Ovis aries: one gene and its partners. The protein of the gene in region 2 binds, or shares a complex with, the protein of the main gene of each other region. Links are inferred from orthologs where the notes say so. Each region holds a gene or a part of one and is shown on either strand. Other genes may lie near its edges. The genes, in order: LSM5, TXNL4A, SART1, SNRPD2, PQBP1, USP39 and LSM7.

The links.
Region 1: TXNL4A (region 2) and LSM5 share a complex: the UniProt entries of both Homo sapiens proteins name them as parts of the precatalytic spliceosome. The link is inferred for Ovis aries from reciprocal best matches to the Homo sapiens genes TXNL4A and LSM5.
Region 3: TXNL4A (region 2) and SART1 share a complex: the UniProt entries of both Homo sapiens proteins name them as parts of the U4/U6-U5 tri-snRNP complex. The link is inferred for Ovis aries from reciprocal best matches to the Homo sapiens genes TXNL4A and SART1.
Region 4: TXNL4A (region 2) and SNRPD2 share a complex: the UniProt entries of both Homo sapiens proteins name them as parts of the U4/U6-U5 tri-snRNP complex. The link is inferred for Ovis aries from reciprocal best matches to the Homo sapiens genes TXNL4A and SNRPD2.
Region 5: the proteins of TXNL4A (region 2) and PQBP1 are in contact, whole or in part, in a crystal structure (PDB 4BWQ), measured with the Homo sapiens proteins. The link is inferred for Ovis aries from reciprocal best matches to the Homo sapiens genes TXNL4A and PQBP1. Residues at the interface, in NP_006692.1 of Homo sapiens: Gly11, Trp12, Val14, Asp15, Ile18, Asp68, Phe69, Met72, Tyr73, Glu74, Met82, Phe84, Asn87, His89, Met91, Gly97, Asn98, Asn99, Asn100, Lys101, Leu129; in NP_001027553.1 of Homo sapiens: Gln241, Gln242, Arg243, Pro244, Tyr245, Pro246, Ser247, Pro248, Gly249, Val251, Leu252, Ala254, Asn255.
Region 6: TXNL4A (region 2) and USP39 share a complex: the UniProt entries of both Homo sapiens proteins name them as parts of the U4/U6-U5 tri-snRNP complex. The link is inferred for Ovis aries from reciprocal best matches to the Homo sapiens genes TXNL4A and USP39.
Region 7: TXNL4A (region 2) and LSM7 share a complex: the UniProt entries of both Homo sapiens proteins name them as parts of the precatalytic spliceosome. The link is inferred for Ovis aries from reciprocal best matches to the Homo sapiens genes TXNL4A and LSM7.

The regions. Positions count from the first base shown.
Region 1 is NC_056057.1:65,578,937-65,583,208, forward strand, and holds the start of LSM5 (U6 snRNA-associated Sm-like protein LSm5), read left to right. Parts: upstream 1-1,472; 5' UTR 1,473-1,492; coding exon 1,493-1,538; intron 1,539-2,599; coding exon 2,600-2,695; intron 2,696-2,976; coding exon 2,977-3,004; intron 3,005-3,607; coding exon 3,608-3,680; intron 3,681-4,272. UniProt on the Homo sapiens protein: Plays a role in pre-mRNA splicing as component of the U4/U6-U5 tri-snRNP complex that is involved in spliceosome assembly, and as component of the precatalytic spliceosome (spliceosome B complex).
Region 2 is NC_056076.1:701,172-705,441, reverse strand, and holds the start of TXNL4A (thioredoxin-like protein 4A), read right to left. Parts: upstream 2,801-4,270; 5' UTR 2,722-2,800; intron 2,244-2,721; 5' UTR 2,229-2,243; coding exon 2,076-2,228; coding exon of another isoform or gene 1,997-2,075; intron 366-1,996; exon of another isoform or gene 305-365; intron 7-304; coding exon of another isoform or gene 1-6. UniProt on the Homo sapiens protein: Plays a role in pre-mRNA splicing as component of the U5 snRNP and U4/U6-U5 tri-snRNP complexes that are involved in spliceosome assembly, and as component of the precatalytic spliceosome (spliceosome B complex).
Region 3 is NC_056074.1:40,495,673-40,499,605, reverse strand, and holds the start of SART1 (U4/U6.U5 tri-snRNP-associated protein 1), read right to left. Parts: upstream 2,801-3,933; 5' UTR 2,747-2,800; coding exon 2,434-2,746; intron 410-2,433; coding exon 352-409; intron 1-351. Other genes in the region: TSGA10IP (testis-specific protein 10-interacting protein), read right to left, coding at 3,639-3,771. UniProt on the Homo sapiens protein: Plays a role in mRNA splicing as a component of the U4/U6-U5 tri-snRNP, one of the building blocks of the spliceosome. May also bind to DNA.
Region 4 is NC_056067.1:53,040,971-53,044,953, forward strand, and holds the start of SNRPD2 (small nuclear ribonucleoprotein Sm D2), read right to left. Parts: upstream 2,801-3,983; 5' UTR 2,739-2,800; coding exon 2,737-2,738; intron 1,384-2,736; coding exon 1,204-1,383; intron 234-1,203; coding exon 59-233; 3' UTR 1-58. Other genes in the region: QPCTL (glutaminyl-peptide cyclotransferase-like protein), read left to right, coding at 3,555-3,764. UniProt on the Homo sapiens protein: Plays a role in pre-mRNA splicing as a core component of the spliceosomal U1, U2, U4 and U5 small nuclear ribonucleoproteins (snRNPs), the building blocks of the spliceosome.
Region 5 is NC_056080.1:56,175,740-56,179,983, forward strand, and holds the start of PQBP1 (polyglutamine-binding protein 1), read right to left. Parts: upstream 2,801-4,244; 5' UTR 2,651-2,800; intron 2,489-2,650; exon of another isoform or gene 2,390-2,488; intron 2,276-2,389; exon of another isoform or gene 2,257-2,275; 5' UTR 2,239-2,256; coding exon 2,172-2,238; intron 795-2,171; exon of another isoform or gene 433-794; coding exon 321-432; exon of another isoform or gene 1-320. Other genes in the region: TIMM17B (mitochondrial import inner membrane translocase subunit Tim17-B), read left to right, coding at 2,992-3,017, 3,891-3,990. UniProt on the Homo sapiens protein: Intrinsically disordered protein that acts as a scaffold, and which is involved in different processes, such as pre-mRNA splicing, transcription regulation, innate immunity and neuron development.
Region 6 is NC_056056.1:57,493,290-57,496,513, reverse strand, and holds the end of USP39 (ubiquitin carboxyl-terminal hydrolase 39), read right to left. Parts: intron 2,023-3,224; coding exon 1,936-2,022; intron 986-1,935; coding exon 938-985; 3' UTR 501-937; downstream 1-500.
Region 7 is NC_056058.1:19,036,616-19,038,774, reverse strand, and holds the end of LSM7 (U6 snRNA-associated Sm-like protein LSm7), read right to left. Parts: coding exon 2,093-2,159; intron 743-2,092; coding exon 600-742; 3' UTR 501-599; downstream 1-500. UniProt on the Homo sapiens protein: Plays a role in pre-mRNA splicing as component of the U4/U6-U5 tri-snRNP complex that is involved in spliceosome assembly, and as component of the precatalytic spliceosome (spliceosome B complex).

The DNA of each region.
Region 1 (4,272 bases), on a different chromosome or scaffold from region 2:
AATAAAAACACCTCTTCCTGCAATCCCCATTAACTACTGTGTAAACAATTGTATCTCCGTTTTCAGAGTATAAGACCTCCTTTATTCTTCATCAATAGTGCTGAATGTTAATTTGGTTTCTGTAATGGAAAGCAAGATATTGACTTAAAGCTTATTTTCTTGAATTTTAAACTCTATCAGGTAGCAACAATACCTTGAATTTGGTTCCTATTCACATTATGGTATGGTGAAAATGAAACAAGAATAGATATAGGAAAACAAATTTTTTTGGCATTACTTTGTCTTGCCAAAGAATGATGTGACGATTGACTAAGATCCCTGAAGTTAAAAGAGCACTTTTTGCTTTACATATTAAATTCCACGTGCTTTGTACATAATGCTTGCTAGTTGTCTTTCTCCCCCATTTATCCTTTAGCTCCTATAAGGGCAGAAGACGTTGTAGTTCTGTTCTTTACGCTGGTTATACTGAGCAAAATGCCAATGTTCAACTAAAGTATTTGTTCGATGAATGAATGATTGGTGCTTTGCAGCCATTGTGTGAATGAATGATGTCCTTCCTGGCCTTTCCTGCTTAAACTCTTTAGCTTTAAGCTCCTCAGATATAAACATAAAATAGACCAACGCAAAAAATTTGTTCGCTTTTTCTTTTCAAAACAGATGCGTAAAAGCAGCAAGGCTTCCTAAATGTGATGTTATTAACATAGAATGACATCTGGTGGTTGCCTGTTGGACTGTGGAAGAAATAGTGTATACAAAATGTATAGCAGACTCCTAGATATTACAAGATTAAAAAGGACAGTTCAGTTCTGTCACTGTTTTGTCCGACTCTTTGCGACCCCATGGACTGCAGCACACCAGGCTTCCCTGTCCATCACCAACTCCTGATAGTAGAAGATAGAAAACAATAGAAATGGAAAAAATTGAAAAAGTAGAATAGAAAAATAGAAAAAGAAAACGATAGTAGAAAATAGAAAACATACTTAAAATTTCCCCCTCGCCCAACAAACTTTATTAAAAATGCTAGTTGTGGGTTTTCAAATCATCAAACTTTTAAAAGAAGCGGTAGATTTTTTTTTTTAACGAAAATTGCAACACAATGAATCGGTGGCGGGAAAATCAAATTTATTGATTCTGGTCGAAGAAAGATCCTGGGTTGATATGAGACACACCTCGATAAGGGGAAATAAGACAGCACAAAGGCTTCCGTTTCGCAGGCTTCCGGATTAGAGAAATAACTTATTTATAAGACCGGAGATCTCTAAAGTCTCTTGGAAGTTTGGAGAGGCGAGTTATCTGTGGAGAACCTAGAACGCTCAGTGAACAGAAACACTTTCTAGAATCTCCCTGCAGGATAAAGAAGTGGCTGGATCTCCTCAATCGCACTCTCGGCCTCAGATTGGTCGAGCCTGCCTGGGCCGGAAAAAAGCGGAAGCGCGCTCTTTCAAACTCGCCGTTCCGACGTCGATAGAGGCAGGCCACTTCCGGCGTAGCCATGGCGGCTAACGCTACCACTAACCCGTCGCAGCTGCTTCCTCTAGGTAATCTTTGTCCTGTTGGGGAGCCGGGGCGGGGAGTTGAAAGTTAGGGTTGGGGCCGAAGAGCAAGGCAGTCCCTGACCGAGTGTTAGAAAAACGTAGCTTTCTCTGCAGCTCTCCTTTAGGCTCCAAGTCTCGGCGGCCTGAGGCCGCACAAGTCTCTCTGGCGTGGGGGAGTCTTCTTGAGGCAGGGGTTTTTGACTCCCCAAACCTTCACCGGAAAGGTTCAGTCTTGGTGAATGTGTCGTTGACCTTCTTTGTTGGGTGCTCGCCTTTATAATAGTAAGAGGCCCATTCCGCAACCGGGCTTTTAAACTACCCGGGTTATATCCTGTCTGGCTGGTTTCTGAGTGAGGCACTTGGGTCTGGAATGAGCCTTTAAAGAGGCCTCTGAAAACTAGCTCTTGTTACTCATTTATTCAGCAAGCAGTTACCGCGCCATCTGTGCACTAGACACTGTGATTGGGCACTGTTCAACAAATTTAAATCACGGCCATTACCTTCAGATAGCATACAAACCAGTGTAGGAAACAGGATACAGGGCAGACATAGACTTAATGACAAGGAGGAATCTCTGGTGAAGACAGTTCTGCCTTTTTTTTCCCCTTAATATTTTATATTTGAAGGGTTATCGGGTTAGTGGATGTGGCAGTTATTGTAAAGGTTTTTTTCCATCCTGGAACAAATTCTTCTGAATGACCAGTACATTTCAGGCATTGTCCACTGGGGATACACTGATGAGTAAAAACCACCTCTCAGCTCTCTTTCAGCTTAGAGTCAAGAGGGGCGTTCATATGTTAATCAGATAACTAAAATAGTATTAAACTACAACCATGATAAATTGCTACAAAGGAGGGTTAAATGAATAACAGGGAGGGAAAACTGTCCTTTTAATAGAATGACTGAACAGAGATATGTAACATAAGGTCTAAAGTTTTGGAGTGAATACTTTTCCTGGCTTATCTTTTCACCATATGCATGTAACAAGTGTCAGTAGGCATTCAAATATTTGTTAATGTTATGAATGGGCAAACTAATCTTCTCTCTCCCGCCCTTATCTGCAGAGCTTGTGGACAAGTGTATAGGATCAAGAATTCACATTGTGATGAAGAGTGATAAAGAGATTGTTGGCACACTTCTGGGATTTGATGACTTTGTCAGTATCCTTTTAAAAGGTGGTTGTATGGATTTTTCTTCAGATTTTTAAAAAAGAACTATAGACTATCAGTACTTACCGATTATTATAATAAAGTTTAATTTATTTTTTTGGAAATTGTGATAGTGTTTTAAGGGATTGTGGTACTGAAAGATGAAGTTCCTACCAATTGCACGCAGCTTGCATTTGAGCCATTGTATTCAATGTTATAATTAAAACTGAACAAAGAAATAAGCCAGAGTAAATTTAATTTGGTATGTTTATTTTCTTAACACCAAATTTCAGATATGGTATTGGAAGATGTCACTGAATTGTGAGTAGTGTTAAAAATTAAAGAATGGGTAGGGGGAATCTCTGTTTGATTTAAGGCAGTTTTAGTGCTGTTGAGTCAGTAAAAGGATGTAGGAGAGCACACTGCCTGTTTGAATTACTCTAAAGAGAGAAAGTTTACCTACTGATGTTAGTAAAATTGGATTGGAGGATTATTACCATAATTTAATTGTCACTAATTGCTAGGAAGTTAGTGGAGACAAAGGTTTAAGGTAAAAGATACTAAAAGCAGCCAGGGATCTTAGCGCTCAGATCAAATAAAGGAACTTATAATAAAAACATTTAATGTTTTAAATTAGTTACTCTAAAACTTATGTGTATATATATATATATAAACATTTTATTTCATATTTGATCTCCTTGGTAAGTTTCAGTTTTTTAGATGAAGATCTGCACTAGTGGATGTGGGTCTTAGGCCAGTCAGTCCACTCTCTTGCCTTTGGAGAATTGACATCACCATGGGGATAACCTTGTCTCTGGAAAGTGTACAGTTCATTTATATATAGTAACTAACCTTTTGGTGGATCAGAATGTTGGCTTTGATTATCACTCTTTATCCTGACTTTTTGAAAATCTTTTTGTTTAGTGAAATCACACCAGAAGGAAGAAGAATTACTAAATTAGATCAAATTTTGCTAAATGGAAATAATATAACAATGGTAAGACAGTGAAGGTCTTTTATTTAGATGTTAAGCCATCTTTGTGGGGCAGGGATTACAGAACTGACTTGATTGACTCAATGTTCTTGGCCCAGTGGTGCTTAGGGTGGGAAGGGAATGCTCTGCTGATCAGGATTCTGTGGCCAAACTGTTGAAGATGACATTAGGCCTAAGATTAGTTTGTTTATACCTTTTATCTTATGTATTTTTAAAATATTTATTTATTTTTTTATTTGGCTGCATTGGGTCTTAGTTGCATCACAGAAGATCTTTACTTAGTTGCAACATGTGGGATCCAGTTCCTTGACCAAGGATCAAACCTGGGCCCGCTGCATTGGGAGCATGGAGTCTTAATCATTGCACCACCAGTGAAGTCCCTGCTTGTGCTTTTTAATCATTTATTTTACCAAGAATTAACTGTTGAAACATTAAATCACTAAGTATTAATTGATACTGTTGGAATTGTAAACAGAGGTGACATGGGGAAAATGGGAATATGAGGGAGAGGCAAAGGCTGATCAATGACCAGTCAGTGAGCTCTCAGTAGGGGTTTTTAGATCATGTGGTACTAAGTTTTAAACTTTTTCCTCCT
Region 2 (4,270 bases):
CCATTTCTGCAGAGGGAGATAGACAGTTAAATTGTTCTTTATACTAAAACCTTAGATTTCAAAAATTCCTGTTGAACGTCCCCAAAAAGGGCTTCCAAAATTATAAACTCATATTCTGCCCTTACACTAAGCAGAAAATAGAACATTAACATTTGTGTAACGCATTTCAAGTTTGCATTTTTAAAGACTATACTATTACATAGTATTAGAAGTTTATTAAAATAGAAATCGGGATAAAAGAAAAAGAATCACTTAAAAGACTAGAGAAAAATACTCCAAGTGAGCCCAATTAAACTGTTCTTACCAACAGGTTCCATTCCAAAAAGAGCCACCTGCTAGCAGTATAGCAATCTGGTCTCTGACCGCTACATAGGGATTAGAAAAGAACAATTCTGGTAAAAGTCCCTAAAAACTTACACTGACACAAAATCTGTCTCCTAGCTAAGAGTATCTTGCTGAGTTTTGCTCAGATATGAACAGCAAACAACCCTCACGCCTCTGCCATTCTAGCCTCGTGCTGAGGGCCACCGGGTCTGGACATCCCCTGATGCTTACTTGTCACCTGCAAGGCAGAACCCAGAACACCCACCTAAGTTACATCAGCGTCCACACAGCAGTGATTCACTTACTGAAACAGGGTCTTCATCCATCATCACTGACTTCTGCAGTCTCTGCCCTTAACCACTGTGGCTCAAGTCATGGGGAAATGACTTCTGGGCACCACCTCACTCCTGACCTCGGACCTGACAGGGAGGACCCAATTGGAAGAACCCTGCTCTCCTGAGTTCCCCAGGCATCTCTTCAAGCTCCCTCAACACCTTTCTGTCCAAGAGGAAGAGGAGGGTAAGGTTATCACCACAGACTCCTGCTCTGACTTGGATCTCCTTGAAGGGATTCAGAATTCCTGGGGGAGCTTCTGGATCTCATCTCAGATCTCCAGGATCAGACTCTCTGAGATGCACTTTCGGTGACAGACACAGAAAGATAGTCCCTAATGTTCAGAGTGCCATCACCCCTACCTCACTCTGCCTGTCCTACCAAAGAGGAGACAGTGAAAATTACTGATGGCAGGTCAGACTACTTTTCAATTCCTAAATACAAACTATATCCTTACACCTGTTACTCTTTACTCAAAGGAGTTATTTTAATCCAGCCCATACTAGCATATCTTACTCCTGTGAAATAAATGATGGCTTCAATGTTTCCCTTATTTTTATACTCTTTAATAAAATGAATAACCTCTCAAATTAACATTGAATATTAAACTTTTTATTAATACCCTAATATTTTTGCCTCTTGCCCTATTACTACAGTTGCAAAAATCTAAATCAAATTTACCTTAAAATACCCATGAGACAATTACAGAAAGAGAATTAAGCCCTAGTTACTCAACAGTACCCTACAATTGCTCTTTATTGTCAGCAAAGGGCCACAGACAACCCCCTGTACTAAATTTAAGGATTAGGAAAACTAGTTCTAACATTACAGTTCTACCTTTTCCCAGTGTTTCCTACACTGGTATCACTCTAAGCTATAAATCAAGTCACTTACAAAGAGCACCCTGGGGTAAAGAAGGGACTCAAAGAAAAAGAAGGGAATTTACTATGTTGTTACCATAGATGTTCTGCTCAATACATACAACAAACAAACACGGTACCAAAAAAAAGTCAAGTTTTTTAAACTAAGCCATTCAAAGTAAGCTCCTACACTCAGCCAAATGCTGCAAACGTGTTTTGCTCCTGGCACTATAGATGTAAATTTTTGAAAACACCTATGAGTTAAAACCGCTATAAATTAATAAGAATCACTTCTTCAAGGAGAGACATCATGAACCTCTTAAAAATTTGAGAATCTATGGAAACTTCTGCCAGTAAGGATATAAGCTATTCTGACCAATTTCAGGGAGCCCATCCTCATACTCCAAGGTATGTCTGTACTTCTGTGAATCCTACTGCTTCTCTTTAACCGGTGAACTGGCTGTACTTTTAATTCTTACCGGCAAAACAACAGCAATCCGACAGGATGCAAACACCAAACCTGGCGGCAGGACGTGACGGGAGGTGTGGCTGCTTTACCTTTTCAGCAATGCTGTACAGAACCTCATCCATCTTCATGCAGGTAGGGTCCCAGTCGTGCCCAAATCGAATGACGACCACGCGGTCTTCTTCCGAAAGGATGGCCTGATCAACCTGCCAGCCATTGTGCAGGTGCGGGAGCATGTACGACATCTTGAGCCAATGGGTCTGCGGGGGAGTGGAGGGAAATCACCGGCCAGTTCCTCCCAGCCCCCCCATGGCACACCCACGGGACCCCCCGCCCCACGGAGCCTCACCACGGGGGCCCCACCCCACGGAGCCTCACCACGGAGCCCACGGAGCCTCACCACCGAGCCCACGGAGCCTCACCACGGAGCCCACGGAGCCTCACCACGGAGCCCACGGAGCCTCACCACGGGGGCCCCACCCCACGGAGCCTCACCACGGAGCCCACGGAGCCTCACCACGGAGCCCACGGAGCCCCCGGCTCACGGGGGCTCACCCCGAGGGGCAGTCGATGCGCCGCCCGCAGGGCCAGGCCCGCGTCTACCAAGTTCCGACCCCGATCCCGCCACAGGAACGCCACTGTCCCCCGGCCAAGAAACCAAGGCGAGGGGACCCCTGGAATCGCACACCCGCGCATCACTCGCCGCCCCCTTCCCACCGTCTCCAGCCGCGCACCCACCTCTGCCCACACCGGACCCTCCCGCTCAGCAGTCCTTCCGGGCGCGGAGCGCTCCCACAGGCCGAGAGCGCCGGCGAGTGAGCCCGCCCGCCCACAGAGCGTGAGCGCCGGCGAGTGCGTGCGCGCGCCCGCAGAGCGTGTGCGCCGGCCAGTGCGTGCGCGCGCCCGGGCCGGGCAGGGGCGTGGACTCCGCTCAGGTACTGGGGCTGAAGGTGGGTTTAGTGTCATGAGCGTCTTAGAGGCGGCGGCTGCTTCAGACCTACTGTGTCTCCAGTGAGTCGGCGTTCAAGTTTCCTCGGTGCGACTGGGACCAGGGAGTGAACGAAGAGGATAACCTCTCTGAAGAAGGGCTCGTCGCCGTTCACTCCCACACAGAGCCCCCTAATTATTTTGGAGGCCCTGCTTTCCAGACGCAAGCACAGTTGCTTTACTTGTGAAAAGCGGTTCATTAACAGAAGAGTACTGGTAAGACGCAAATGCCCCCCAAATAAGTTATTGAAATTAGTATTTCTAAACATTTTTTGTTGTTCAGTTGCTCAGTCGTGTCCGACTCTGCGACCCCATGAACCGCAGCATGCCAGGCCTCCCTGTCCATCACCAACTCCCGGAGTCCACCCAAACCCATGACTATTGTGTCGGTGATGCCATCCAACCATCTCATCCTCTGTCTTCCCCTTCTCCTGCCCTCAGTCTTTCCCAGCATCAGGGTCTTTTCAAATGAGTCAGCTCTCCGCATCAGTTGGCCAAAGTATTGGAGTTTCAGCTTCAGCATCAGTCCTTCCAATGAACACCCAGGACTGATCTCCTTTAGGATGGACTGGTTGGAACTCCTTGCAGTCCAAGGGACTCTCAAGAGTCTTCTCCAACACCACAGTTCAAAAGCATCAATTCTTCAGTGCTCAGCTTTCTTTATAGCCCAACTCTCACATCCATACATGACTAATGGAAAAACTGTAGCCTTGACTAGACTGACCTTTGTTGGCAAAGTAATGTCTCTGCTTTTTAAAATGCTGTCTAGGTTGGTCATATTGTTATCGTAAAATTTAAATAGTATCAGTTCAGTCGCTCAGTTGTGTCCGACTCTTTGCGACCCCATGAATCACAGCACGCCAGGCCTCCCTGTCCATCACCATCTCCTGGAGTTCACTCAGACTCACGTCCATTGAGTCCGTGATGCCATCCAGCCATCTCATCCTCTGTCGTCCCCTTTTCCTCCTGCTCCCAGTGCTTCCCAGCATCAGAGTCTTTTCCAATGAGTCAACTCTTCGCACGAGGTGGCCAAAGTACTGGAGTTTCAGCTTTACCATCAGTCCTTCCAAAGAACACCCAGGGCTGATCTCCTTTAGAATGGACTGGTTGGATCTCCTTGCAGTCCAAGGGATCTCAAGAGTCTTCTCCAACACCACAGTTCAAAAGCATCAATTCTTTGGCGCTCAGCTTTCTTCACAGTCCAACTCTCTCATCCATACATGACCACTGGAAAACCATAGCCTTGACTAGACAGACCTTAGTTGGCAAAGTAATGTCTCTGCTTTTCAATATGCTATCT
Region 3 (3,933 bases), on a different chromosome or scaffold from region 2:
GCTGTCCAAGAAATGGGGGCACCAAATGCATTTCTGGACAAAGAGGGGGAGAAAACAGGAAGGGACTGAGTGGTCCGAAGGGTCTCAAACCTAGGGCCTGACCCAGCAGTGGGAAGAGCACCGGCCTCCCAATCAGCCGGAAGGCCTGGCCTGCCCCCTAGCCAGGGCAAGGCCATGCTCTCCTGGGCCTCAGAGTCCACTTCGGGAACTCAGCTGGTTGGCTAGGATGATTTACATGACACTTCCAACTTCAATCAGAACATGTACTACGCGAAAGCCTCCCCAGACAGCTACCCCAGAAGCTGCTTGTCCCACAAGAAAACACAGAAATGAAAAGGAGACAGGACTTACTTGGTCTCCTCAATGCTGAGTGACGAGGCATCGCCTGAGCTAGTTTTGGAGCTGGCAGCTGGAACAAGAAGCAGCAAGGCTCAGGGGCAGAGCACTGGGCCCAGGAGCCGCAGCCCTGGCTCCAGGTGCAGGGCCGAAGACGAGGTCAGCACCTCGGCCTGCTTCCCCCCAACCAGGAGCTCCTTCCATCCGAGTCCCAGGCTCTGAGAACGCTGCTTCTCCCCACACCTTCCTTTCCTGATCCAAAGGGTCCAGCTTTCTACATCCTTCACTTCGCCACCTCTCCACTTTTGCGTATCCTGTGCTTTCAACCTACACTGCCTTCTCTGGCCTCAGGCTGTTAACAAAATCCTATCAGACCCCACTTCCTCCCTGGAGTCCTGCTCCATTACTGATCAGCATGACCTGCTCTCCTCTGCACAACACTGCCACAGTCATTTCTGGACCTGCTTCTCCTCACAGGGTAGGGACCATCTTGGCAGCATAACTATGCCCTCTGTGTAATTCATGCAGTGAAGAAATATACTTATTGGAGCCTCTTCTGTAATGTTGCTGAGATCACTGAGATACAGGAGCATTTAGGACATCCTCTACTCACCTCACAAACAGCAAGTGACTTCACTGAACACCACATGCAGAAGTCAGATTCGGACTCAGACGGAGCTGCCCCTACCAGGCGCCACCACAGCTCATCGTTCCAGCATGTTCGCCTCACAACCTACCTCTGTACCTTATCCCACTTGAACTCTGAATCCCAACCACTCCAGGCTCTCTCCAAGATCACCAGCCTCCTTATTTCAAAACCCCAAGGATTCTTTTCAGCTCTGGTTTTCATCTGGTCTCCAGCAGTGTGTGACACAGATGATCACTCCCACAGATCCCCTGACACGAGATTCTATGGTTTTCCTGCTTTGGGGGACAGCCTACCTCCTTTTTTCGTAGCCTCCTGCTCAGCGTAATACTAAGACACTAGCATTTATCAGGTTCTCCTACCAGTAGGCTTCCTACTCCTAGTCTCTCAGTGGACTTCATATGCCACCTAAACACTCATGATTCCCAAACTGCTCTATCCAGCCCAAGCCCTGAGTTTCTCCATGCACATAAAATTCAACACTCTCCAAAACGGAATTCGGTTGTCTCCCTCCAAAAATCTGTTTCTCTTCCAAACTCCTGAAATTAGTCGACAGCACTGTGCATGTGTGCTTCGGTCACTTCAGTTGTGTCCAAATCTTTGCCACCCTGTGGACTATAGCTCTCCAGGCTCCTCTGTCTATGGGATTCTCCAGGCAAGAATACTGGAGTGGGATGCCATGCCCTCCTCCAGGGGATCGTCTCAACCCAGGGATAGAACCCTTGTCTCTTTTGTCTTCTGCACTGCAGGCAGATTCTTTACCACTGAACCACCAGGATAACATCAGCAGAGATCACTACCACTCAACTAGTTGCTCAAGTCAAAATTCAAGGCACACCCTCAATTCCTTCTTCTCTTTCCAGCCCTCATCCAAATGCTAAGCTCCATCACCTCCTCCTCCAAAACACCTCTCCAATCTGTCCACGTCTCTCCATCCCATGGCTAATGCCTCGGTGCAGGCCACCATCAGCCTTCATCTCACCTCCAGTCTCTACTGCCCTTCTCCCAGATCTTTGCAAAATATGAATGTGATCAACTCACTCGTCAGTTCAAATTCATGGCTTCCTCTCAAAACAAGTTTCACTTTCTTAACAGGGCCTATATGGCCCTTAGTGTTCAGATCCGTGTCTCTCTTACAGACTGCTGTCTCTCCTATGAACTCTACACAACTTTGACAACATGTTTGTTCTTGCCTCTGCACATGCTACCATCGCTTCATTCATTCAACACATTCAGGGAGGGGTCGTGAGGAAAACAAAGAAAATCTCTACCCTCAGAGAGTTTAACAAAGAAAGACAACCTTCAGTCCCAAATAGCCATAGGAAGACCCTTTAGAAAGTGCTGACGAAAAAGCCAGAGGATGCCTCGGCCTGGTGCGCTCGGCCTCCATACCCAGAGCCCACATACCCGAGGCACCTCCGGTCGCCCCGCCCCCTGCACAGGCCCCTCACCGGCCTCGTAGCCATCATCCCGCTTCTCCCGTTTCACGCGCCGCTCGGAGGGCTCTGTCTGGCTGCGCTCCCGCCCGTGCGTGCTGCTGCGAGCCTCATTTTCGGCCCCGCGCCGCCCGCTCCCGCGCTCGCTCCCACGCTCTCGGCTTCGCTTCCGTCGTTCGCCGCCGCTACTGCCGCCGCCGCTGCTCCGATGCTTGTGTTTTTTGTGCTCCCGGTGCCTAGGCGGCTGTTCGGTAGCGCCCCCGGTGCTGGCCGCTGCTGTAGTTCCTGCCGCCTCCTTTTCCCCGCGGTGCTTCTTTGACGACCCCATGGTGGTCTGTCTAACCCCGAGCCCGGCCGCCGCCGAGCCCCGACGACGCAAAATGGGAACACTTCCGGGTCGCCCGACAGCCGGTGTCCTGTTGCCGGAAACCAAGAGCGGCTGCTTCCGTCGTTTGCCTCGGAGCCTGCCCCAAAGGCTCATGGGAAGGCCGGGATCTGAACCCGACTGCGCAGTCGCAGCCAGCCTAGCCGGGGTAGCGGTCTTTGAGCCGGGGGGCCGACTGCGCATGCGCGCCTCAAGGTTCGCCACTGGGTCTGGGGAAGACAGTATCCCAGAATGGGACCTAGGGACCATCCAAGCCAGGATCGCCAGAGCTGGAAGCCCCTTCCCGGCTTCCCTCCGCTTTCACACCCTCAATTACGGATGTTCACTGGCTCACGGACTGTCTCTGGGCAGGGTCCACCTCTCCAGTGGCGTCCTCCTAGTGTACTGCCTGGGGTCGTGGCTCCATCGGGTGTTAAACGACGTAGCATGTTCTCCCGAGGCCCCCAGCTCCACAGTCCAGCTTCCTTCCAACCCCTACATCTAGTATTGTCTGCCAACGCTGCCTTGCCACGCTCCTTGGATTGGGTTTTTAACCTGAGCTCTGCGACTGCCCCGGAGGTCGAGTTGAGCTTCTGTGTATCTGTAAACCCCCTGAAATCGAATGCAAAATTTGGCACATCCGTGTGTGTGTGAGCTTTTCTTTTTCTTTTCCTTTGAGGAGACTGTTAACTTGTAGTTAAAAGCTCAGTTCACACAATTCCTCCTGACACCCCCACTTGCCAGTTGCTCGATCTGCCAGCCCATCTGTTAGGGTGTGATTATGCGCCCTTTTAAAGGCCCGCCCCCTCCCCCACAGGACTGGGCGTTCCCAAAGGCGGAAGGCATTCTGTCCTGTTCACTCTTGAATTTCCAGGACCCAGCATTGGTAGGAGTTGCAGCTGTTGCTCTTGGGAGATGCCCCACTCGCTCCTCTGGGCAGAGACACAGCCGTGTGTGCTGGGCGGGGGCCGTCGCAACAGCCAGGGTTCCTGGGGGATGTGAGCACAAGCCAAGCGTGCTGCATACCCACCTGCCACGGCCTGCTCCCAACCCACAGCCACTTCCCACCACCGCCAGAAATCCCACACCGTGTTTTCCACAAAGCATTTAATTTTTATCTCAGGGACTCAACTCTTGGTCTGGATTTGGGG
Region 4 (3,983 bases), on a different chromosome or scaffold from region 2:
TACAGAGGGCAGGTCTTCGCAAAACCAGGGGGAAAGTTCTGACAGCAGGGAGGAGGCCCTACTTGCCAGCGATGAGCGGGTTCCTCAGGACCACGATGACAGAGTCCCCGCGCAGGAACATCTTGGAGATGTAGCGGTCCTTGTTGACTGGCTTGGACTTCTTCTTGCCCTTGCCGCTCTTGGGGACCTCCGTCCACATTTCCTTCACATTCTCCAGCACCATGTTGCAGTGCCTGGTGGGGACGGGGAGGCAGCAGGACTGAGTGAGGGGTGTGTCCTGACCCTTCCTCTGGGCGGCACTGCCTCTGGGAAGGGGGAGAGCCAGGGCTCCGAGGCTCGGGCAAAGGACTTCACCTTCTGCGCCTCAGTTTCCTCGTCTCTAAAATGGAGACATTCATGGTGCCTGCCTCCTATGGCTGTTGTGAAAATTAAGTGAATCAACACACTATTTTTCTTATGGGCATGTGTGATGACAGTGTGGAATAGCTCGGTCAACAAACGTTTACAATGATTAGAGCAATGAAAAAAAAACCAGGTAAGAGCCCTGTCTTCATGGGCTCTGCAGGCTAGTGAAGGGAGAACACGAAGCAGGTAAACAAACACACCTGTAATATACTGTCAGGTGGTAGTAAGTGCTATGAAGAAAAACTAACGCAAGGTAAAGGGATGGGGGGCTTCCCAGGTGGCTCTAGCGGTAAAGAACTTGCCTGCTAATGCAGGAGACATAAGAGATGCAAATTCAATCCCTGGGTTGGGAGGATCCCCTGGAGGAGAGCATGGCAACCCATTCCAGTAGTCTTGTCTGGAGAATCCCATAGACAGAGAAGCCTGGTGGGCCACAGTCCATAGGGCTGCACAGATTCAGACACAACCAAAGTGACTTAGCCCTCATGCACACACACAAAGGAATAGGAGGATACAGGGAACTATGACTGAGTGAAAGAAAGAAAAGAAAAAAATTGGGAAAGCTCTGTATCTTGCTATATAGTAATCTACGGTGAGGAAAGCACTTCCCAAATGCTAACTAAAGGCTGCATGTGTTTACTGAGCATTTATCATGTGTTAGGTACTGAGCCAAGTGCTTTTCATACATAGTATTACTGAAGCCTCATTACTGTTCTGAGGGATATTATTATGACGCATATTTCACAGGTAAGGAAACTGAGGCCCGGACAGCATACCTCCCCAGACCCTGGTGCTCACCTGTCGAAGGCCTTCACGCGGCCCAGGAGCTTCTTGTTGTTACGGCAGTTGATGAGCACTTGAGTGTTGTTTTTGACTGACTGCGTGAGCACGGAGAGCGGCCCCGTGTTAAACTCCTCCTCCTCCCGCTTCTGCAGCTCCTCTGGGGTCATCTCACTCTTGGGCTTGTTGAGGAGACTCCTGAAAAGACAAGTATGGAACCCAGAGGTGAGCAGGCCCATAGCCTGGGTGCTCATGGCCTCTCCCTTGGTGTCTCCCCGACACATATCCCTCTCTTCGTACTCAGTCCTCTCTCTTGCTATCACCACTTGGATGCCTAATGGATATTTCCAATCCTCGCATGACCTAGACTGAACTCCAGACCCCCCATAACCCCAACTTAATACTATCCACAGCCTTCCTCATCTCTGTCAGTGGTGACTCCATCCCTCTGGTTCTTTGAGCAACTTGACTCTTTCTTCTCTCACATCCTACATTCAATCTGTCAGCAAATCCTGCCATCTGCCACTAAAACCTATCAGAATCTGAATTTCTTACCTTGGCTTAAACCTCCATCATCTTTCCTAGGTCTCCTTGCCTCCACCCACGCTCCCCAACAGTTCGCCCTCCACAGAGCAGTCTCAAGGGTGGTGTCAAGAATCATCTCACTCTTGAGTACCCTCTCAGTGTAAACAGTAAAGCCCAGCTTTTACCCTCACTCTGTTCCAGGCACAATGGCCTCTTCAGTGGTTCTTGAAGCTATCAGGCAAACCTTCTTGGGCCCCTCTATTCACTTTTCCCTCTGCCTAGGTACGTCCCCAGGTACCTTTGCAGTTTGCTTTCTCACTTTCTTCAGGTTTTTGCTCAAGTGTTGCCTCCTTCATGCGTTCTGTCTCTCACAAGAGACATTCCACGCTGTTTTACCCTGCTCTGTTATTTCTTTATTCAAAACCCTATTCCCTAACACATTCTAGAATTTACGGATTTATTACCAGCACGTTTCCTGCCTGCCTCTTCCCATCCCGTAAGATGTAGAAGAGGATTTTTTTTCCCTTGGGGAGAGTGGAGTAATTCAGTGATATAAGCTATGCGTCTAAAGCAGCCTAATACACAAACAACTCAATAAATAACTGTTGAGTGACTACATAAGTAAAATCATCCCCATAACTCGTTATCCATACCAATGGCGGATGTGATCGAAAAGCCAATTGTCTCCAGCTACGCCTCTTACCTTAAGACCGCTTTTCCTACAAGTCCGTACTCCTCATCTCCCAGGTTTTTAATTCGTAAAAACGCTTCCTCTTAAACTTCACTTCAATAAGATTGCTTATTTGGGAAAGCCCAGCCTGTTATCTGATAAAGCTGTCCCCGCTCCCGAAGTCAGGATCCTTCAAAGGCCCCACGTCCCCTCGCAACTCATCAGTAGAAAGATACGCCACTTTACCCCCAAATGTTTGCTTCCGCGCCCACTTCTGCCTACCCACTTCAACCGGTAAGTGGCCAAACTTACACCCTCAATCCCACTGCCGCCACCCAAACCCAGCCCGGCCTCACATGATGATGATGGTGACCGCGTTTTCAAGCCACTACCGTCTCCTCCGTGGTGTGCCTCCCGAACAGAGAGCCAGAGGCGGGACTTCCTCTTCCTACGGCCCACTTCCGCGCGCGCCTGCGCATACCCAACCAGCGAGTGGGGCGTGGCCCGTTGCTATAGCGATCTCCGCCCTCGGCGGAGGCTGCCGAGTAGAAGCCTTACTTAGTAAGTAGCTCCAGGCCACCATTCAAGACAGTGCTGGGCAGATATTCACGACCATGGAGAGGAAAAGAAGGCGGGACTGATTAAAACCATTTTGTTGCAGAACCGCATAGGTTGAAAGAGGGGAATACTAGCCATTTCCAAATGCCCGCCCGCTCTGCCTTTGGGGGCGCGGCCTTGGCGAAGCCAATCCCCTCCTCGCTTCAGGGATGGGCACCTCCCCTTTCCTTCGGAAACTGTTGATTTACGTGTATATTGGTTTTTCTGGACCGGGGAGAGGGTCCATCCGGGAGCGGCGTGGATTTGCGCCCAGTAAGGCTAGTGTTTTCGGTGATCAAACGCTTCTCATTGGCTTCCCCTCCTGCGCTGAGGCGGCGCCTACTTCTTACGCTCTCCCTTTTGGGTTGTGCAACCCGGGGGAACCAACCCCCAAAGCTCCCTGAAGACAAGGAGCCGCGTCCTCAGGCCGAAAGTCCCATTTGCTTTACTGCTCGTGGGGGGGGCGGATGGTGCAGCCGCTCTTGTTGTTCATTGGTCTGGCTTATTTCATGGGGCGGGACTTGGCTCGGCCTTAACTCTATCCGCCGTCTCCGACCGGTTTCAGGGCCAAGCTGCCATGCGTTCCGGGGGCCGCGGGCGGCCCCGACTCCCGGTCGGGGAACGCAGCCTTTTGGAGCGACCCTCACCGCCCAAGCGGCGCCTGATACCGCGGGCACAGCTGTTGCCCCAGCTGCTGCTGGCTCTGACAGTAGCCTTGGTGTTCTATACCATTTGGAGCAGCTGGCATAGCCAGACTGAAGAGCTGCCGCTGGGCCGGGAACTGCGGGTGAGGACGGGCGGGGACATGGGCACTGCGGAAGCCCTTACTCCTTGCCTCCCCTTCCCCACGGTCTCATGGGGAAGACCCTAGGTTGGGTTAACCTGGCTTTGTCTTTACCTTATGGCCCTAGCTGCAGGTGCCGCCGTCTCCGTTCTTAGAGCGCATACCCCTTTCCAATGCAATGAGGCTTCGGGCTTGTTTTGTAATAGCGGTTACCCCGTAAGA
Region 5 (4,244 bases), on a different chromosome or scaffold from region 2:
AAGCTGAAACCCTAATACTTTGGCCATCTCATGCAAAGTGTTGACTCATTGAAAAGGACTCTGATGCTGGGAGGGATTGGGGGCAGGAGGAGAAGGGGACGACAGAGGATGAGATGGCTGGATGGCATCACTGACTCGATGGACATCAGTTTGAGTGAACTCTGGGAGTTGGTGATGGACAGGGAGGCCTGGTGTGCTGTGATTCATGGGGTCACAAAGAGTCGGACATGACTGAGTGACTGAACTGAACTGAACCCTTCACAGGAAGGGTGAAGTCAGAAGTTAGCTCTCCCTCCCCACCCGCATGTCGTCAGGCTCACCAGGAAGGGTCAAACACCTTGTACCAGCTTGGTGGCAGGCCCTCCAACCGGGTAGCCTCATAGTCCACAGGATCGTCATCATAGTCCTCAGCAATGATCTCTTCCTCTGGTTCTGGCAGGACAAGGAAGGGAAGAGGACAGCAGTAAGAACCAGGGAGATTCCCATCCTGCAATCAGGGCCTGGAGAGACACACTCACATTCACGTGGACTGTGTGTGTGTGTGTGCATGCCAGGTCTCACATGCCAGAGCAAATACTGCTCATGTTCCAAATCCAAGTATCTGAATATCAGGATTTACCAAAAAAATTTACTCAAATCTGTTTACGGGTACTACTACCCAAACTTATCTGGTTTCATACTTTAGACAGGGATACATTTTTTTTAAAAAGTATCCATATTTATTCAGCTTCTGAGTTCAAATAGTATGTGACACTGTATTATGCAAATTTGAATAAAATGAGTTTCAACAGCAAGGGGTTTACCTAAAAATATGTCCAAATCTATTCAGCTTCCACGGCTGGCAAATATGGGGTTTCTGACTCCTATATATTGACTAGCAAGTTTGGACAGCAAGGGATTTATCCAAACACTTCTCTGAATCTGTTCAGTTCCTGATGCCTGCAATAGTTGTCAGTTACTATCAACAGAATAAAGAAAGGTGTATGAGTACTTGGACCTCAGTAGTCCTATCACAGATTTCACCCATGGATATAGTTAACAATTAAATGTATATGTCAGCAACAGCATAGTGCCTGTCACACAATAGGCCCCAAATAGATGTCAGCTACAATCATTAATATTGTTAGTAAGATACATACAGTTAGTACAGGGCCTGGTAGCAAACAGCCTTAAAATAAATACCATATCAGTATCATTATCAATATTATTAATAACCAAAGATCTTTGGCATACAACAGGCTTGTAATAGGTGTCACTTATCAATAAAGTGAAAATAAGATGAGTTTTCTAGTACCTGGCACACCTTAGCCCAAAATAGATGCCAGCTTTTACTATTATTGATAAATAAGGTATAAATACTAGCAACAGCAGCACAGTAGGCCTAAATGATAGATCCTATCATTACTTTATATACTGTTAACCACAGTGTATGATAAGCACTTAAGAAGACTCAAAATACATGTCAGCTATTGACATGGTGAACAATAAGGTATGGACAACTCACACAGTGCCTAGTTCCACAGCAGGTCTGAAATAATGTTATCTACTAGTATGTTACAGAACAAAGTATCAGCACCCTGCGACTATACTTGGCCGACAGGAGGCTGCCATAGGTGTCAGCTTACTATTACTATCCTTATTATACTTCCAGGAATTAACTGATGGGTTAAACTTTGGCTACAGAAGACCCCAAAATACACATCAACTGTCAGTGTTAAGGACGAAATGTCTATTCCATACCCCACCTCCCCTCCTCCTCATAGGACAGGAATAGGGGTCAGTAACACGTATTGTTGGGAATCCCTGGTAGCTCAGAGGTTAAAGCATCTGCCCGCAATGCGGGAGACCCGGGTTCGATCCCTGGGTAGGGAAGATTCCCCTGGAGAAGGAAATGGCAACCCACTCCCGTCCAAGTATTCTTGCCTGGAGAATTCCATGGACGGAGGAGCCTCGTAGGCTACAGTCCACGGGGTCGCAAAGAGTCGGACACGACCGAGCGACTTCACTTTCACTTTCTTTCACTTTCAACACGTATTGTTAACAAGGAAATGCCTGCCACCCCACTGCTTGGTGCACAATAGGCCCATGCTAGATATCAAGCGGCAGTATCCGCAACAAAGTGCCTGTCAAGTCGGGCACATGGTAGGCCTCTCTTCTCTTAGTTCTCTCACCAGGCTCCAAATGTTTGAGGATGCCTCTCTTGGCCAAGCGGGTCTGCAACGCAACAGGCAGCGGCATAGCGGATGGCAGACAGGCCTACGGAAGGACAGACAGCCTGAAAAACAGCTCAGATGAGGACTGAATCTGGTTACAAGAGTAACCAAGGGCCTCCCCGCAGCATGTACTCAATCTGGACCCCCATCTACACTAGGAGGGAAATAGACCCTACCCGCTGAAAGGTGGAAGGGGTTGTAAACAGCAATATCACCAACACTCTCACCAACTCCGCTCTCCCAGGCCAGTGGCTGCAGCACCGGGTTCCCGTCCTAGGCCCAGGCTCCGCCCAGCCCAAGGGGCCATGCGCGGCTCCCCCACTACCCAAAATGGTTTCACCCAACGTCCCCCAAAGACTGCTGGGTGGGAGGAACCAAAGCGTTGGGATGGGGGAGCACAGTGTAACACCTCCTCCAGCTCCAAAAAATGCACCCACCCCAAATTACCAATACAGTCACGCAAGTAGTGGACGACTTTCCAACTGGCCACCTCTCTCTCGTCGTCTCTATGAGCGCCAGGACCACACGACTCTCTTCTCCCAAAGCACAGAATGAGTTTCTCTCTCCCCGAGCTTAGACGTAACTGCACGACGCTCACGCAGTGAAAAGATGACGCAAACCTACCTAGCCAATGAGAATGCGCTTTGATCTGAAGTCTGGCGAAACAACAGAACCGTTGCCCTGGGATAGGTGGAAAGCTCGGGCGCTTGTATACGTTTCCAGTGGAGGTGTGGCCCGGCCAGGGTTTAGCGATACTGCGCGGCCGGACGCCGGCGCCATGGAGGAGTATGCTCGGGAACCTTGGTACAGCGAGGGGCATAGGTGTCGGGACTGTTGCTGCGGCGCCACGGCCAGCGGTGGGAGGCGGGTGGGGGAGGCACGGGCCACACAGCGCCACGTCCCAGACTCGGAACACATTTAGATTTTTGTTGTCTTCTGCTCCTCTCCACTTGGTTTCTCTTACTCGGGCTCCGTTAAAAGGGGCCACAATTGTGTGCCTGCAGAAGAAGGTTTGGTGCAGGACGGACCACTCCACGTTTTCCTTGATTCCGTACCTCCCAGCCCCTCTGTTAAAGACACGCTGGTCGAATCCATTCCAGCCAGGGGGTGGTGCGGTGTTGAGCGGGTATCCCCTGGAAAAACGCATGGTTTTTCCCAGGTCGCTTTGGTTAATGCTGGCGGGGCCTGGATGAGCCTGACCATGATTGTGGTCATGGAGGGGTGATGGGTCCTCCGCACTCTATGTGCTTGATTTTCCCCAGTTGTGCGAGGGTGAAAAGGGAAGAGGACGTGGCTTTGTTGGACGTGCTCATTATCGGAAAAAGGGGTGCTACCCCATTCTGCTTAAGGAACAGTGCCTGCAACACCTGTAGCGTAATTCAAACGTGCCAATTCTTTAATTAATGCCCTCTCATTAATTCATTTAATCTTTGACAGTAGTCAACCAGTTGGTTGATTCCCTGGTTGGCTGTGAAGGGGAGGGGCGGACAGGGCCAAGACTGATGTTTTCCCCTCTTCACATTATTTTTTGCTTAAATGAGGGGAGAAATAATCCCAGTATTATCTGAAGTGCTAGTTCTCATTTGGGTGACGTATTGCTCCCAGTTGGAAAGAGATCTTGTGACTTGGCATGAGGGAGCGCTCACATTAACCTCATCCTCCCCTTCCCGCTTGCAGCCCATGGCGAATTGTGGATGATTGCGGTGGAGCCTTCACTATGGGTGTTATCGGCGGTGGAGTCTTCCAGGCCATTAAGGGCTTCCGTAATGCCCCTGTCGTGAGTCCTAGCCTTCCCTGGGTGCTGCTGAGGTCCTGCCCTGACCACATGGGATACTGTTCTGAAACTGCTTGGAACTGCCAGTCACGTGCACTTATTCATTCTGGTGTCTGCTTACCTACTGTGTGGCAGGCCTAGCTCCAGGATCTGGGAGTTTGGGGGAACTGCAAACATGACCTCTGACCCTCACCCTGCTGGAGCTCCTCAGAAATGCTGTGCTGTCAAAAGGGTCATAAAACCAAAACCTAATTGTG
Region 6 (3,224 bases), on a different chromosome or scaffold from region 2:
AGTGAAGTAAGCCAGAAAGAAAAACACCAATACAGTATACTAACACATATATATGGAATTTAGGAAGATGGCAATGACGACCCTGTATGCAAGACAGGGAAAGAGACACAGATGTGTATAACGGACTTTTGGACTCAGAGGGAGAGGGAGAGGGTGGGATGATTTGGGAGAATGACATTCTAACATGTATACTATCATGTGAATTGAATCGCCAGTCTATGTCTGACGCAGGATGCAGCATGCTTGGGGCTGGTGCATGGGGATGACCCAGAAAGATGTTATGGGGAGGGGAGGTGGGAGGGGGGTCCATGTTTGGGAATGCATGTAAGAATTAAAGATTTTAAAATTTAAAAAAAATAAAAATAAAAAAAAAAAATAAAATAAAAGGCAGGAATAAAAAAAAAAAAAAAGAAAGATCATAGGGGAGACAGTTTGTGAGGACTCTTTTTAATCCCCCCATAGGCAGAAGCCCAAGGGAATGATATGAAACAAGAGGCTGGTTTAAAAACAGGAAAATATTTAATCCATCCCAAAACACATATCAAGAAATGAAGAGAGCCACAGGAAAATTACCTATGATGGAAGAAGGGTGTTACTGGCTTCAAGCTCTAATTCCCATAATCCTGAGGCTTTGATGCTTCAAAGAAACCCATCTAGTCCTTTAGTATTCCTGGCTATTCGGAAATAAATTACATACATCTGTAAAAGAGTTCTGGCCTGCTAGAAGGGAGCTAGCCAGGGAGAAGAAAGGGGCACCAATCTACTGCAAATGATCAAAGACCAGCTGAGTGACAGCACGGAGCCATCCGAGGCAGATGGACCACTGATGCTCTGGTGAGAACCAGAACACAGGGCTGGCTCAGGGGCTTGTGCCATCCACCTGTGCTCAGAACGACGTCAGCCAAAGCCCCTGGGAGCAAAGTTCTAAACACCTCCTTCATGCCCCCTGCTGGTTGGTTTCATCATTATCTCGCCTCTTCCAAATCTGTAAGAAATGAATACAATGGATACTTAGGAGCCTGTGTTCCATCCACAAATATTTATCATGCACCTAAATCTGTGCTAGGAAATGAGCAAACTATCATCCCAACTGTGTATTTGCTAAGTCCCCTAAAACTAACTCATAGTCTTTCAAAAAATTCCCTTTCATTTAATTTTCACTCTTCTATCCATCCTTCTCTTCCCATTCCAAACTCCTTTTCTGAAAAAGGACCAACAGTCAGGCCTGCAACTTCAGACAAAGAGTTCTCCTTGGAACAAGCAGTATCTCTCTCCTTTTTTTATAAAGCTGTGGCCTTCTCTTAGCCTCAGTCTTCCTTCTCTGCAGGGACTAGGACCGTTAGAAAGAGAAGACAGGGGGACTTCCTTGCAGGTCCAGTGGTTAAGACTCTGTACTTCCACTGCAGAGGGCATGGGTTCGATGCCTAGTTAGGGAAATAAGATCCCATATGCTGCACGGTGTGGCCATAAAGTAAAAATTTTTTAAAAAAGAAGAAAGAGAAGATAGAGGCCCTCAGTTCCATGAACTCCCAACACAGTGGAGAGGACAGTTAAAACATGTAGCTGCTGTTCCACAGACATGGGACAGTGCTGTGGGGTCACAAAGAGTGCTGACTTTGCCTAGGGAACTGGGGAGAGCTTCAGAGATGACTCCAGATGATTCTGAGCTCTTCCTCCTTGAAATCAGACCACATATTTGAAAAACTGACCTGGCTGACCACACACAGAGAGAACCACCTTGCTCACTCATAACTCGTCCATGCTTTCCTGTCCTCCTCTTCACTGAAGATCACTCCTGGCCCCGCCTCACTCCCCACTACATGTCAAAAGGCACCCAAGCTAACTCAGTCCCACGCCCTGCCTTCACCCTCAACACTTCTCTCACCAGCCCCCACACCCCATCACCTCCACGCTCATCGAGTGAAGCCAACCCACCTGAATGTAAGCCTCCGACAGTGTGATCATCTGGGGAAGGATGTCGGTCACCTGGAGGTCCTGTAATTCATACCATTTGCCTGTCCCCTGCAAGGAGTATGAAGGGCTAGGTCAGTTTGCTCCCGGAAACCAATAGAGTTTTAGAGGTAAAGAGATGCAGCCAAAAGCTAGAAAAGTCAGAACAGTCACTAGACCATCACCCAGCAAGAGTTCTAAGAAAGAAAGTATAAGGCCTCTGCTGGGCATCATTCAATGTCAAGAGCTTTTAGGGTGTTGATCTTGACAAACAAGTCCTGCTGAGGACTCCTTAAAGCACAGTGGAGTCTCAAACACTGTTCGTCTTTTAGGAAGAGACTAGGAGGATAACACAGAGAAAGAAGAGGAAGCCCCTACTCCTCACCTGAGATGCCTGGATTATGGCAGAGATACTTCTGGAAGCTCATCTGCCTCATCCATCCAAACTTTCAAGAAATGCCAAAGACAAATATATTCCGGTTATTCTGGATATTCCAGTAGCTCAAATAGGATACACAACAAAAGCTCAGGATCCCATAATGAAAATCCCTATTCCTGGTGCGAGGACTGGTTAATAAGAATACAGTGAAACCTAGTATCCAGGTTCCAATGTCAACTCTTCTAACTTCAGATCAGTTATTCCAACTCTAAGCTAGGTTCCTCACTTGTAAAAAGATGGTATTAACACCTGTCTTGGAAGTGTGTTTAGGGATATAAACAAGATGAACATACATGAAGTATGTGGCGTACTATCTAGCACATGGCCAAGTGCTTGACAGATAGAAGCTGGTTATCATTAAACCCAGATTCTCAGAAGACTCATCAAGTTAGAACAATTTGTGCCAGTAATCTGTATGATACCAAATACATCCTAAGCACGTTTCCCCCATTTTCAGCAAATTCACAAAATTTTTTTTAGCTGAAAGGGAACCTCTCTACCAGTGCTTTGTAAACTTTAATTTCATACCCTTCAGAGGGTCTTGTTAATCAGTAGACTGTGATTCAGGAGGTATGTGAGGGGTCTGAGATTCTACGATTTCTAACAAGTTCTCATATGATGTCAATGCTGTGAATCCAAGGCACTTTTGGTGGCAGGTGCTAGTCTAGGACAGTGCTTCTCAATCTGGCTACATACTGGAAATCTGAGAATTTTAAAACTATCAAGATGCCTGGGTCTCACCTCCAGATAATCTAATCAAGTCTTAACTCCAACATTTTGGACCAGAAAACTCTTTGCTGCCTGTGGGGGCTGCCTGTGCATTGGAAGATATTCA
Region 7 (2,159 bases), on a different chromosome or scaffold from region 2:
GGAACAAGGCCAGGAGAAAGCCCTGCTCCTGAGGACAGGGACTGGGGACGTTCATGATGATGGCCTGGGGTCGCCGGCTGAGGGGCAGGGGTGGGCTTGTCCTCTGAGATGAGCGGGGAAGAGGTTTAGATCACCTCTGGGGTCGTGGGCCAGGTGGACAGCAAGGCTCCATCTAGTCTGTTCTTTGTGGGGTCATGGCTGTGCTTTGTGGGGACATGACAGAGTGGACCCGGCTCTGCAGGACCCCTCGGGCCAGAGCATAAAGGCACTGAAAGGATAGGACCTGCCGCTGAGAAGGCTGGCTGGGGTGTGCACAGAGGCGGTGATCCCTGGGGGGGTCTCTGCAGAGGCAAAACCCATTCCCCCGCCTGCACTATGCATGCTTAGTCACCACCAAGTCCCCGGCCAGCGCTCAAGCTCTGCCAGATGAACCAAATCCCCAGGTCTGGGTTTTGCCAGAACACCAAAGCTGAAAGGAAGATTCCAGGGCTCCTGGACACTTGAGGTTTGCAATTTTATTAAGAAAACAAAATGTAAGTTATACAAAAAAGAGTTCCATTCGGACGGGTGGCCAAGTCAGGGGAGCAGTGGCCTGGCTGCTAGGCATCCTGCTGCTGGATGAAGGGGTTGGGGATGGCCTCCATGCCATCCTGCGGGCAGATGAGCACCACCGAAGTGCCCCTGCACACCACCAGGCCCAGCTGCCGCGTGTCCTCTGTGAGCTTGTACTGATCGTCGGGGTCTGTGGGAGAAGAGGGGCGGCAATGAGGCAGTGTGGGAAGGTGCCCAGAGATGTGCCTGGGTGGGAAGAAGTGGGGTGTGGGGGCTGGGGGGAGGGAAGGCAGGCCAAGCTCCCACCCCCCACCTCCGCTTCCCCCAGCCCATTGGCAGCTTCTCTGGAGATGGATGGAGAGGCTCAGGAAAAGCTCTGAAACAGCCCTGTGCAGCCTGCCCTCCTTCCACAATGAGAACACAGCCCTGGGGAGATGGACCGAGTGCTCAGAGGGGTGGTGGGAGAAGAAAAACCCATCTGCAGGATCTGGGAGTTCCTAGAGGGTCACCATTCACCCTCACACCAGCGGGCTGTTCCCAGTGGAGGGAAGTGACAGCGCACGGAGGCGAGCTTACTCTCAGAGATTACTGCGTGACGGGAGAGGCTGAGTTGGGGTGCCACTCCCCACTCCCAGGCCCTGCAGGACGACAGTTGTCCGAGCCTGCCCATTCCCTCCTGGAGCTGCCGGGATGGGTCTGGCTGGCTCTGGGCCTGGGGCTGTTCTTGGGTGAGGAGAGGGCAAAAAGTCGCTGGACCAGCAAGCCAGGACCCCATGTAAGTGCATGGCACACACCAGCTCATGTGGTTCTCCCAGCAGCCCCACGGGGGTGAGGCTGTCCTTTTTCAGAATGTCATCTGCCTGAGGAGGCTGGGCCAGGACCCCAGCAGCAGGACTCTGGGTAAACCCCGAGGGAAGAGAGAAAACAAGGGCAGGCAAAAGGCCCTACAGGGTTGCTCCTCCCACAAAGAGGGCCTCTGCCTGGTGGCTTCTGACACTTGTGTGTGGCCGCATTTACTCTGCACCAGAGTAATGTGTACTTCAACATCGACAGTCCCTGGAGGAGTGAGACCCCCTTCTCTCCTGAACCTGGGGGCTCCGTCGTGCAGCACTCAGGCTGAGCTGGTGGGTCTGGGGACTTGTGGAGACGGGGACAGGAAAGGAAGGGGAGGGGACCCTTTGTCAGCAGCAGGGAGTAGACAGATAGAGACAGCAGGAGAGAGGGGGCAGGATGAGGCCCCTGGAAGCCAGCTTTATTGTGGCAGGTGCAGCACCTTTCTAGCCCCACCAGGCAGACTTCAACTCCAGCAAGTGCTGAGGGTCGGTGACGAGTGAATCCGGAGAACACTCTACCCTTGAAGTCCTGAGGTGACAGTGTACTGAGCCCCACCAGGACAGTGGCAAAGCAAACACACTTGTCAGCAGTCTGACCCACTAGGCGCCACATTCACGGTGGCTCAGCATATGGGCGGCGGCCTAGGAACAGTAAAGAAGGCCTTACTGCTCGGAAGGATGCTTCCGAGCCCTGCAGCTGCACTCACCTCGCATGTACTCGATGGTGCCGTCCAGCACGAGGTTGAGCAGCGGGTCGAACCCTTTCAGGATTCC